Danio rerio: one gene and its partners. The protein of the gene in region 1 interacts with the protein of each later gene in a pairwise test. Links are inferred from orthologs where the notes say so. Each region holds a gene or a part of one and is shown in the gene's direction. Other genes may lie near its edges. The genes, in order: psme3, eaf2 and eaf1.

Evidence for each region.
Region 2: the proteins of psme3 (region 1) and eaf2 interact in binary tests that used the Homo sapiens proteins (3 or more experiments, as listed by UniProt). The two-hybrid records come from large-scale screens. The link is inferred for Danio rerio from reciprocal best matches to the Homo sapiens genes PSME3 and EAF2.
Region 3: the proteins of psme3 (region 1) and eaf1 interact in binary tests that used the Homo sapiens proteins (3 or more experiments, as listed by UniProt). The two-hybrid records come from large-scale screens. The link is inferred for Danio rerio from reciprocal best matches to the Homo sapiens genes PSME3 and EAF1.

Annotation. Positions count from the first base shown.
Region 1 is NC_133187.1:29,024,078-29,028,277, reverse strand, and holds the start of psme3 (proteasome activator complex subunit 3), read left to right. Parts: upstream 1-1,263; 5' UTR 1,264-1,380; coding exon 1,381-1,422; intron 1,423-2,025; coding exon 2,026-2,058; intron 2,059-2,159; coding exon 2,160-2,222; intron 2,223-3,059; coding exon 3,060-3,164; intron 3,165-3,278; coding exon 3,279-3,327; intron 3,328-4,136; coding exon 4,137-4,200. UniProt on the Homo sapiens protein: Subunit of the 11S REG-gamma (also called PA28-gamma) proteasome regulator, a doughnut-shaped homoheptamer which associates with the proteasome. 11S REG-gamma activates the trypsin-like catalytic subunit of the proteasome but inhibits the chymotrypsin-like and postglutamyl-preferring (PGPH) subunits.
Region 2 is NC_133184.1:24,619,561-24,623,849, forward strand, and holds the start of eaf2 (ELL-associated factor 2), read left to right. Parts: upstream 1-1,485; 5' UTR 1,486-1,590; coding exon 1,591-1,693; intron 1,694-2,167; coding exon 2,168-2,262; intron 2,263-2,344; coding exon 2,345-2,481; intron 2,482-2,586; coding exon 2,587-2,750; intron 2,751-4,289. UniProt on the Homo sapiens protein: Acts as a transcriptional transactivator of TCEA1 elongation activity. Acts as a transcriptional transactivator of ELL and ELL2 elongation activities. Potent inducer of apoptosis in prostatic and non-prostatic cell lines.
Region 3 is NC_133191.1:7,236,138-7,239,790, forward strand, and holds part of eaf1 (ELL-associated factor 1), read left to right. Parts: exon of another isoform or gene 1-652; intron 653-1,204; exon of another isoform or gene 1,205-1,401; coding exon 1,402-1,608; intron 1,609-3,653. UniProt on the Homo sapiens protein: Acts as a transcriptional transactivator of ELL and ELL2 elongation activities.

The DNA of each region.
Region 1 (4,200 bases):
ATTAAAGAATTTGCCTGTACGTTATTCGTTTTTAGCATCCGGTTAAAGGTTTGTTTATGTAGGCCTCAGCTACGGCCTTGTAGGACCAAGAAATGTAAACGTCCCCACATAAACGCCACCCAGCAAGGCTTAATGACTCCTTACCCAGGCCTCCACAGTCTCCCACTGTGCTTTGTTCGTGTCCAAGACTGGAAATTTCTTCACGTTGCCCCTAAAGTTCACTTTGACAGTGACGGGGAGGTTCATGTCTGTGAGCCAGAGTCAACGGAAGCGTTTGATGAGGGGATACGACGCTCTAAATGCCCGTGGTGCTGTCAACACTGTGAGACTTGTCTTTTGCGTTCTTGTTTACATCGCTAGATTCAGACACGCCTCCAATGTACGTCACAGGAAGTGTCTCGGATTTGCTTACGTTCGAACAAAATATTTTTATACTTTTTATCAAATATCAAAATAAAAATTGTTCAATGGTAAGCGAAAGCTTTTAATTGTTCTTGTGGGTACTTATATTGTGATTTCATCAAATAATTTATGTACAGCGAGAAATATGACGCAGACATGCGCTTCACTCTTTTCCAAGTCGTCAAGAACATAGATATATCAAAATACATAGATACCGTGTTAAAAGCGATATTCACGTCAGGGATCAGATTTACCTTTTAAAGAGAGAAATAGAATTTGTAGCCATAATGTCAAACTCTATTACTAGTATTATTCTTAATGTTCTATTTTATTATTATTACTTACAAGAACAACAGTGGTAATAATAAATAAATAAATAATGGTTTATTATGATTATTGATTGATGATTGTTGATGTTGTTCTTGTCATTTATTTTCATTATTGTTATAATTATTACTTAAATTACAGTATCTCTGTTATTGTTTGTTTGTTATTTCCCCCATGTTCATTAATATATTCTATTAACCATAAATTTTTTATCTAATTTGCAATTAATAAACCAGCTAAATCAAAATGACCTGACCTTTTCATCAGCGAATAAGCCCAGTTTAAACTGGGTCAGCAAACCCCAAATGTTTTATAGTAGCCTACATCAAACAGTCCATACTTTTGATCCAGCACAATTCACCCAACAATGTGTTCAAATAAATAACCCAGTACTTTTTTCAGTGTCTATTTAGAATACAGCCAAACCGCACACGAATAAGCTGCGTTGTCGTTGCATTAATTCGACTGAATTTGGTCACGAATGCCAGACTCTTTCTGCACATCTATCATGTATTCGCATCTATGGCCTCTGTGTTTTACGTCATCTAAAAGCGCGCAAGTGCCTTGTGGCTGACAGCAGTTAGTAAGCCACACGGTTAGTTAATGCTTTTAGGACAATCCCTTCATTTTCACATTTCTTGAATTAATACGATGTCTTCGCTCCTGAAGGTGGACAATGAAATCAAAACAAAGGTAAAAGTCTTAACGTTTCTTTTATTTAAACACGCCGCACTCAAATAAACTGTTTGTAAATGTTAGCATTGCGGCTAGCCGGCTTGCCCGTGAGTCACCTCGTGAGCACATCTGCTAACTTTCAGATCCAGATTTGCTTGTAAAATCAAACAGTTTTCAAATAAAATATTGATTTAAACGTTAAGTACGTTCGGATTGTATATATCAGATCACCAAGCTGAAGCCGAAGCCCCCACATGTTCGGCGGAGTCGTTGTTAACAGCGGGTGTGCGGATGAAGCGTGTTTTTAGCACAGCAGCATGTCGTTACGGGAGAATTGGAGAGAAGTTTGCCATCGTTTTTTTCCATTAGCGAGCTAAAAGTAATTTTTAATATCTACTTATTTTGTCAAAGGTTTACAGTTAAGATCATGAGGCTAATAAATTAATCCAGCGGGATTGTGCAGTTCTACATTCAGCGCCCTAAAACAGAAAGGCCGCCAGCTGTTTTGTTTTCTTAAAGCGATTTTATTAAAAATAATAAAAGCAGTGACTGCAAAATTCAGATTGGGAATTGCCTTAGTTGTGTTTCTAAAATTACATATTAATGTTTTTGTCTTGTCAGGTTGATGCTTTTAGAGAACGAATTACATCAGAGGTAAATTAACGGAGATTACATGTATAAATTATACATGTATTATTTATATACCGACATTTCTTTGACTATTTGACACTTATTGTTTTATTGTTGACATATAGGCTGAAGACTTGGTTGCAAACTTTTTCCCGAAGAAATTGTTAGAACTGGACCAGTTTTTGAAGGTAAGTGTTTGATGGTGGTTTATGATCAGGGTTTTGCTTTGTCTCTCTTCAGATTGAAGGCAAAAAGTCGTAAATTGGAGCAGAACGTTTTAAAATTGCAAAGTCTTGATTAAATGCTGCATGCACTTCAATGATTTGAATGATTTTTAGTTTGTTGTCCAGGACAAAAATCTAAACGTCCTTCAATTAAATCACATTGACTTGTTATGAAAAATTATTTTTTTCATTGTAAATGTTAAAGAAGAACTTTAAAAATCTCAACGGCTACATATCTTGAAATGAAAAGTCAGACTTTTGAGAAATCAAACTTAAATAATAATGCTTAAAACAAGTTTCTGCAGTTTTTTTGTTAGAAGTTCACTTTACTTTGGAAAAGTTTTTCAATGAGAAAACCCAACCCAAAAAGTTGGTGTGGCTAATACAGCCCATGGTCTAACACAGGAGACTGTCTTATATTTTTTATTATTTTTGTAGACTGAAGTAATTGACAGCTATGTTTTGTTCTGATATTTGTAAGGGCTTTAGAGTTTGTGAATGGATATATTTGACAATTATTTAAAAAAATCAAACTAAATTATTAATATTATAATTGTTTTGTTAAATGTATTACATTACAAAAAAAGTTATAGGGCAACTGAAAATCTTTTCTAACTGGGATATTTAAAAATAATCCTTAGCATTTGTAAAATTTTGCAATTTAATTCGTAATGGTCTAAAAAAATCTTAAATTTTACTTGGTGAAACCCAGATGTTGTTTTAAAAGGGGCTGAAACCCCAAAATGATGCATTGAGTCTTTTACCTGTTGTACAAACACTCATACATTTGATCACTTGTAGGATCCCACAATTAATATCACGGAGCTGCAGGAAATTCATTCAGAGATCAATCTGACAGTGCCAGACCCAATTCTGCTTACAGACATCCACGATGGGATTGAGGGGGTAAAAGTCATTTTCTTCAAGTGTCTTCTTCATTAGTCAGTCATATCATCTATTGATGTTGATCAAAAATCTCTGAATATGATAAAAAGATAACCTTGACATTTTTCTCAATAGCAAAATGCTAAAAAGAGGAAATTTGAAGATGGAGCAGGAGACGACAAAGGTGGGTATTGTCTTTAGTTTACCAAGTTAAACAAATATGTTTTGAAAGTGTGCAGTGTTGATTGTCAATGATAACACATACTTGTTTTATTAAATGCTCATATTGAAACTGGGAAATATTTCATTCTGTTTTTTATATTTATGCAAAGAATATTTATATTAACTATAAATAAATATTTATGAGCAATTCTCAGTGCAACACTGGTGTTTTGGCCCTGGGTGAATGTATTTTGCATTAATCATTTTACTCTTCCTAAAGACAGGTTTCAATTCATTTAAACTTTTTGCTGCCCCTACTGGCTGTTTTAGAGTTGTATTTGTATAATCATGACTGTGTTTTATTCATGACAGGCCAAACACTCTGCAAAATACTGTTGAAATTTACTGGGGGAAAAAATAAAAACGGAGATCTTGTTTGTTTGTTGTTTTGTTTGTTTTTCGTTTGTCTTTTTTCCTCTCTTTTCCATGTGCTCTGCTGTGCTGACAGATCCAGCCCTCACTCTTCTTTACATTATACTAAAGTTCCTGTTTGTACAGTGTGTCTTAAAGTATTAAAAGTTGATCAATTAATGTAGAGAAATTTAAGGCCCTCAAAGTGTTGAATGCTATTTTGCAAGGTATTACATTTTTTATAATTTTTGATTATACAATGTATGGTTTTATGCTAAAGTTTGCCTGAATTCTGTGAATATCGGGATGCTGTGTAGTTTATGAAATCATACTAGATTTGATATCATGCTGCTTTATTGCAGTAACCAATGCAACACTCTCTGATTTCACTCTCTGATTCCTGTATATGCTCTGTTGTAGTTGGCGGGACCAAGGTCTTTGTCATGCCTGGTGGAATGATGAAAAGCAATGGCAAGCTGGTGGA
Region 2 (4,289 bases), on another chromosome or scaffold:
CATTTAATGGAGAACAATAATCATCTGTCCACCACTGCTGACTAAACTAAAGTCTTGTGTGTATCACCAGCCCAGGGACACCGCAAACATACACTTACAGAAGAAACAAAAAAGACCACTGGTAAAAACAAAAAGTCTAATAAAAAACATTTTTTAATTCTTTTCTAATTACTGAACACCTTTCTAATCATTTCCTTTCTTTGCAAATTATGAATTTCACAAGGCTACATCTATGATTTCTGAAGCTGGTAAATAAATATGTAAGAGCTGTAAAATAAATCATAATAAATGTCATGTGTGACCTATAATTTGTGCAGAAATGGAAATGTTTTCATTGATTCTACATCATTACTTGATTCATGGTCACACACTTTTTTCAAATGCAATTATATATAAAGCTACAAGCATTTACAGATGGAATCTAAAACTCAGCATCAGATCAGCATAAAATACAGAATCTCTAATCTAATCTAATGACAAGTAGTGTCAGACTTCATTTTCACCCCATCATATTAGATCTCAAAGGATGTTTTTCTTTGTTTTACAGACAGTCACCCAGCAACCTGCTAATTCCCTACATCACATGCTCCCGCTGAACCAATCTCCATCTCTATTGAGGTTTTCAGAAACAGTGGACTTCATGGAAATAGTTTTACGTTTAAGATGAATGACACTGAAGATAACCTAGTATACGGTATTCCGTGAACATTAAACTGAAAATAACAAATACTTAAGCTGACAGAAAGCTGGTTAACCCTCGCTCAAAATATGAAGTGAACGGGACAATTCATTTATTTAGCCTCCGCTTCGTTAATGAACGTGTCACTTTTACAACCGACTCATTAATATAAAGATACAGGAGAAATGACAGTGTAGTGTATGATCATACTTACATTAGATATTTGTTTTAGTAGAGTTGACATGTCGACGGTCTCTCTCCTCCACACACGCGCTGCTCGTAAATGAATCGGCGACCTCTAGATAGCAGAAGACCCCATATAACGTTACTCTCTCTGCGTCAATGCAAACAAACTGCACGATTTTATTAAAGAAACAAAACATATTTGGGGGAAAAGAGAAAACGATTCCAACACAGCAAGGCATATAATCTATTAATATAATTTAATATTTTATGAGGAATTATGATTTTATTGTCTGTGCTAATGAAATTACCCGTTTGGAACATACCTTAAAATATTTATTTTAGACCCAAACTACGTTTCAACATGTCATTTTTATTTTTTCTTAACTGACAAGACTTTTTTACTTGTCATCGTTAACTGCACAAATACAAATAAGCATTCTTAGGGAACACTAGAGGGCACCAGTGCAGTCGTGTAAACGCGTGTAAGGGAAAAGATGGGCACTTCCGTCAAACGTTACGTCAGCGTCGACTGATTGTCTTCTAAACCAATTACAGACAAGAAGTGAACGAAATGAGGCGTGACCAAGTGCAGTAACACAGCCAATCCCAACGTAGCAAGCGTGAGCAACGGGTCCAGAAGTGAGGCGTCTATTTCTGCCTTAGATGGTATCAAACCAAGCAGAAAGTTGAAAATCGCTAATATATGGTTGAAAATTTGGATTAGAATGAATGGAACAGCATATTCAAACTTTGACAGTCAAGAACACGTCCTCAAACTAGGCGAAACTTTTGAGAAACAACCTAAAAGTGCATTCCACACGGTACGATGTAAGTTGCATCTTTTATATTGCTAGCGGTATTTCAAAATGATCATATAAACACGATAATGTGAGTCATATTTTGAAAAAGAAAACGAGGTGTTTTTTAAGTTAACACCGAAACCATATATTGTTTTCAAAGAAAACGCACAGGCATATCAGGAGGCAGCTATGTGCTTTTCCACCTTGCTGGCTTAAACTCGGCTTTGTATGTTGTTTGGGGATCATTTAAAAAAGCATCCTGTCTTTGTGCTCACAACGAAAACTATTATAAATAAACAGCCTTTTTTGTTAGTCGAAAACTTGTCGTTTTAATGAAATTTTGAGAGCCATTTAATTCATGAAGAATAATGATCTTTCATGGGAAACACGCGCCCTCTGTAGGTTCTGCAATGATACTACGATGTTTGTTTTACTGTGTACTGTACGTGTCAGTAATAATAGCACACCTGAATATCAAGAAATATGTTCTTCCTGGACACAGATGATTTCAAACCAGCCTCCATAGACACTACATGTGAGGGGGAGCTGGAAGTGGGAAAAGGAGAGCAAGTTACAATCACATTACCGAACTTGGAAGTAGGTTTCATAACCTTACATTCTGAAGTGTACGTAAAATGAATGATTCTTGAGTCTTTTTCTCTCCAATCAACCCTTTCAGGGATCCACAGCACCAGTTACTGTATTTAAAGGCTCTAAAAGGCCTTATATGAAGGAGTGTATTCTGATTGTTAACCATGACACAGGAGAGTATCGTCTGGAGAAACTCAGCAACAACATTGCGGTCAAGAAGACCAGGTAAAAACACTTTTGAGTTTCAAGTCATATAAATATGATGCTTCCTTCTAATCCTTTGAATTGTATGTGAAGTAAATAAATTGTCAAATTCTCTTTTCTGTCCAGGGCTGAGGGAAGCAGTAAGATTCAGTCACGGCTGGAGCAACAAACCAGCAGACTCAGCCAGCAGATGAAGACGGGTAGCGGAAGCAAGGCTCCATCCAGCACCAAGAGCTCTCCTCCCAAAGAAAAGATGTCTCCATCATCTCCTATGGATGATATTGAGCGAGGTAACATGTCTGGTCCAAATTAAAAAAAAAAAAAAAAGATTCCTGCAACAAATCATCAGTTTCACATCCATAACTGATCCACATATTATATTGATTCATGGTATCTTCCGTCCATTCCATATCTGTTTTTAAACCGTTTGAAAAAAAGGGAAAACTTTTGGCTCTTTTTTTTTTTTTTTTTTTTTTTTGGGGTTTATTGTAGGAAAATGGATACTACTTTTAAATTCATTATACACATGTAGGCGATGTTGAAACGCCCTTTTTCATCTGACGAATGAAATCTGAGCTCATCACGTTGTCTTCAAAACAATAGTCCTATATATATATATATATATATATATATATATATATATATATATATTTAAAATAAGAGGAAATAAAAATGTAAAAAAAACTAATGGTATCTTTTGTTATAGCCCTAGGGCCCAATGTGTTCTTGTTCTGGTCCTGCTAACAATTATTTAAAAAACTAGACAATAAAAAAACACAAAGTAAACAATAATATTTATTATAAGCCTACTACTATTATTATTATTATTATTATTATTATTATTATTTAGGCCTACAGTAGCTCTGAAACAATAATGCAAACTAGGTTATGCTCAGAAAAGGCTATCTTTACTCGGCATCAGGCGCACAGCAGCAAGACGTTTTGCTACGAACTATTGCCTTCTTTTAATGACATGTGTAACTATACTGCTAATTTATGTTTTTATTTAACTTATGCATACGCAATGAATGTAAGCCTGCTAACTGATTAAATACTAGGATATTTAAACTTAGTTTATATATAAAATAAATAATAATGATAAAAAGCCTGGGTGCAGATCCTCAGAGGACTATTATTTTGAGGGCGACGTCATGAGCTTAGACTTGGTTAGCCAATCAGAGGAAAAAGGGCTTTCAGCACTGCTTACATGTGTTTAATGAATTTTAAAGTCATTGATCCGTTTTCCTCCCCTAAAATAAAAAATGAAAATCCAGCCAAAATGTAGGTTTTTGTGAGCAAAAGAAAAACCAAAAAACATCCGTTTTCCGTTTTTTTTTTTTTTTTTTTTTGGAAACGGATATGGAATGATTGGAAGAAACCCTGATTATACTGCAAGCCTGTGGTCTCAAATGACTGTGATTTAGTTATTCTAAAAGAAATCTAATGCAAATTGTGGAGATATAAACATAATACAATGAAATGACAGTTAAAGTGTTTCCTCATTTAACAATAATTATGATGGTTGTGATCGATTTAGTGTAATAGTCCTGGATTATTAAATCTTTTTCAATTTTGTCCCTCAAAACCATCTGAACCTAGTAAGTACAGTTCTTAATGTTGCTGTAGAGGTATTACAAGGTTATAACACAACTTTATATTTTTTCCTGGTCTTGAAATATTGAAGGAGACAACCATAAAAAAAAAAAATTAATAAATCATAAAAGTGCATTTTTTATACTCATTTTCTCTAAAAAAAAAAAAAAAAAAAAAAAAAAAAGTTTGATGGATGGATGAATAGATAGATGATGAATGGATGGATGGATGGATGG
Region 3 (3,653 bases), on another chromosome or scaffold:
TTTTTGCAGAGAATTTTGGTAAAAATCTGTGGATTTCTGCTGAATTATTTTGGGAGTATCCAGCAGAGAATCATAACTAAAACCTTAATATATGAAATAAAAAGTAATACATTACTGAATAAAAACTGAATGAATTCAGATTTACACATTTACTCAAGTGAATAAACTGAATTAATGATGGGCTAAAAATCTGCAGAAATCTGCGGAATTCTGCGCGTGCAGATTCCGTGTGGGCCTAGCAATAGGGTATATGCTGAAGCGTGCCAATAGGACTTTTAATTTGCCAGTAACCTGGGTTAACCGCTTCCGGTGAACTGTATGCCAAAGCAAAATCAAATGCGTTTATGGTCTGTTTTCTTTAAAAATCAGCGATCTCCATTGGTTGAGTGATATCCAATATAAAGTGTGTCTGAGATTGTACAAGAAGCACTGCATTAAATTACATTTTCACCGCCATGTCTTTATAAAAAGAGCATTCACTTTACTCCAGTATATTCAATGGAGCTTCTGCATTATCCTGCCGATTCTGTTGGTCACGTGCGAGTAAACAGGTTTTTGTCTCATTTTACGCTTGAGTAACTAAGTGAATACCAAAGTCTGTTTAACTGAATGTATTGAATTACATTACAACATTGATGCTGTAAAAGGAACCATATATAAAGCAGGGCTGAGCCTGGTTAGTACCTGGATGGGAGACCACTAGGGAACACTAGATTGCTGTTGGAAGTGGTGTTAGTGAGGCCAGCAGGGGGCGCTCAACCTGTGGTCTGTGTCCTGAGTCCTAACGCCCCAGTAAAAGTGAAGGGGACACTACACTGTCAGTGGGCGCCGTCTTTCGGATGAGACGTTAAACCGAGGTCCTGACTCTCTGTGGTCATTAAAAATCCCATGGCACTTCTCGTGAAAGAGCAGGGGTGTAACCCCGGTGTCCTGGCCAAAGTCCCTCTATCGGCCCTTACGATCATGGCCTCCCGATCATCCCCTTCCACCGAATTGGCTCTATCACTGTCTCTCCACTCCACCAATAGCTGGTGTGTGGTGAGCGCACTGGCGCCGTTGTCCTGTGGCTGCCGTCGCATCATCCAAGTGGATGCTGCACACCGGTGGTGGTGTGGAGACACCCCTCATGATTGTGAAGCGCTTTGGGTGTACGGACATACACATTAAGATGCGCTATATAAAAATACTCATTACATTACATTACATATAAAATGGAAAAAAAACTCACAATAACAGGTCACCAGACGTTTATCATTATGGGAGCAACACCAGCTCGGCATATACCCTGTATAAGACAGTTTTTTTTGGTCCAGGGTCATATATTGTGCGTCTGCAGTGTTGATGTAGCTTTTTCTCTGACTCTGCTGAATTGAACCAGTGTTTTTGATCTGTGTGTGTCAGAGCTGCGGGCCGAGGTGGACATGATCGAGCAGATGAGCAGCAGTGGCAGCAGCAGCTCTTCAGAATCTGCCAGTTGTTCAGGCAGCGGGAATGACGACAGTTCCTGCAGCGATGGAGAACAGGAAACACATCTCTCGCCCAGCAGGAACAACATGGCCAACGGAATGAACAAATCACAAGGCAACAACCAGCTGATGAACACACTCCGTAAGAAAACATATATATTACCCACACGAGACAAGCATACAGTGTAATATAACTATGAATGTTGTGCAAATAGGATATAACAATAATTAATAGGTTTTGATCCCAACTGTGCCACTTTGGTGACTGTCGCTTTAAATTCAAATGAGATTGTGCTCTTTTTACAAGAGGGCAGAGCTACAAATTAGGGATGTGTAATATGGCAAACCTTAGAAACACGATTTTCTAGAACAATATTAAGATTTTGATTTTAATAACAATTTTGACACACACAGATGTTTTACACCAGGGGTCACCAATCCAGTTCCTGGAGGGCCGGTGCCCTGCAGGGTTTAGCTCCAACTTCACCTCAACACACCTGCCTGGGTGTTTCAAGTATACCTACTAAGACCTTGGCTGTTTCTCAATCGGTTCTTCAGCGGCCTTGCAACCTCGTGTTCTTGTGTAACGTCATTATCAGCTGCCAAAGTTCAGTTCCAATACTCAAGACCGCAAGTACGGAGGACGCGTGAAACTTCCTGGATGTGATCTTGATATCGAGGACGCACTGATACAGACTTGAGCACCGAACTCGCTCTGGAAGTCCCAGAAGTCATTGCGACTGGAGGTGGGAAGCGCAGCATTTTATTTAGATTTATTATTAATGTTCAGAGATATCACTTATTTACCGCAGGAGTTTCCCTAAATGAAATGGTGAAAGTAAACATCACCATGAACATCTTAATAAAGGAATAAACACATTAAGGGTGTTTGTTTGCTGAAATTCGTATTAAAATCTGTTTTATTTATATTGTGCAGAGTATATTTATAATGTTTTTATGCAAAATATATATTTTGAAGAGGGGGAAAACAATAAATCGTTATATGAATGTTGTAATGTTTAAATAATTTCCATTTAAAACGCGTGAAGGTCATGTGACCATCAGGAAGAACGCAGCATCCCATTTCTTAAAGGACGCGTTCTCTGCCCTCGCGGTCTCCTGAGTTCGTTCTTCCGAAGACACCTGGCAAGACCGCTCTCCACAAGAACGCAAGTCCATTCTCTGCGTTCTTGGAATTGAGAAACAGCCCTTGATTAACTTTTAAATATTGGACCAAACTTTGTGATCTCATAACTTTGCGCCAGACTGTCTTACAGACTTAAGGTTGTGCTCATTTAACTCACTAGCAATCTGCCAATCACTTATGACCTTTCAACTTACTAGCCACACCCTAGCAACTGTCCCATAGTTTTGTGTTTGATTAGAGTTGGAGCTAAAATCTGCAGAACACCAGCCCTCCAGGAATAAGTTTGGTGATCCCTGTTTTACAGTATGAATCTAAAACATATTTTCAAAGGAAAACAATTACATCTATATCAAAGACCTGTAACATGTCTCTAAAACAGACACACACAAAAAATCTCGTAGTAAATGTGTAACAAATTGTCTCCAAAAATTGCGTGTGCGTGCATGTCGTCAGACTCAAGTAAGGATCCAATGTTCTGCTTGAGCACATATCAGAAGTAGTCACGTGTACTTTTCTATGTGTCTACAGATTTTTTTTCTATGTGTCTACAGATTTTTTTGTCATGCATAGATCATAGACCTCTTTGTGATGCTGCCATGAAACATGCTGTTCACATATCTATACTTTTGCGCTCATAAGTTTGTTATTTCCAATGGAATATTGGGAGTGTAGGGATAGTTTAACCCAAAGAATGACCAGTCTGGTAGATGAAGAAGAGCCGGAGTCAGATATTTAAATAAATAAATCAAGTTTACTGAAGATAGTTTGCAGTTTCATTCGCAGAAGCCAGCATCAACACTCGCAATAAGTTCCTAGGCCGCTCTGCTTACAATCACCAATCAATAACAATTATACTCTCCCATAACGTCATTAACTGCGGCATACATATAGGTGTTCTAACCTGATTGGTTAAAACACAGACTAGAAAAATTTCCACGTGGGGTTCGTGCGTACAATTCTGAACATTATCTAAACATAAACGTCAGACATACCTTAGACTGATTAGAGCTGACTCCAGACCTGTGAAATGGATCAACAAT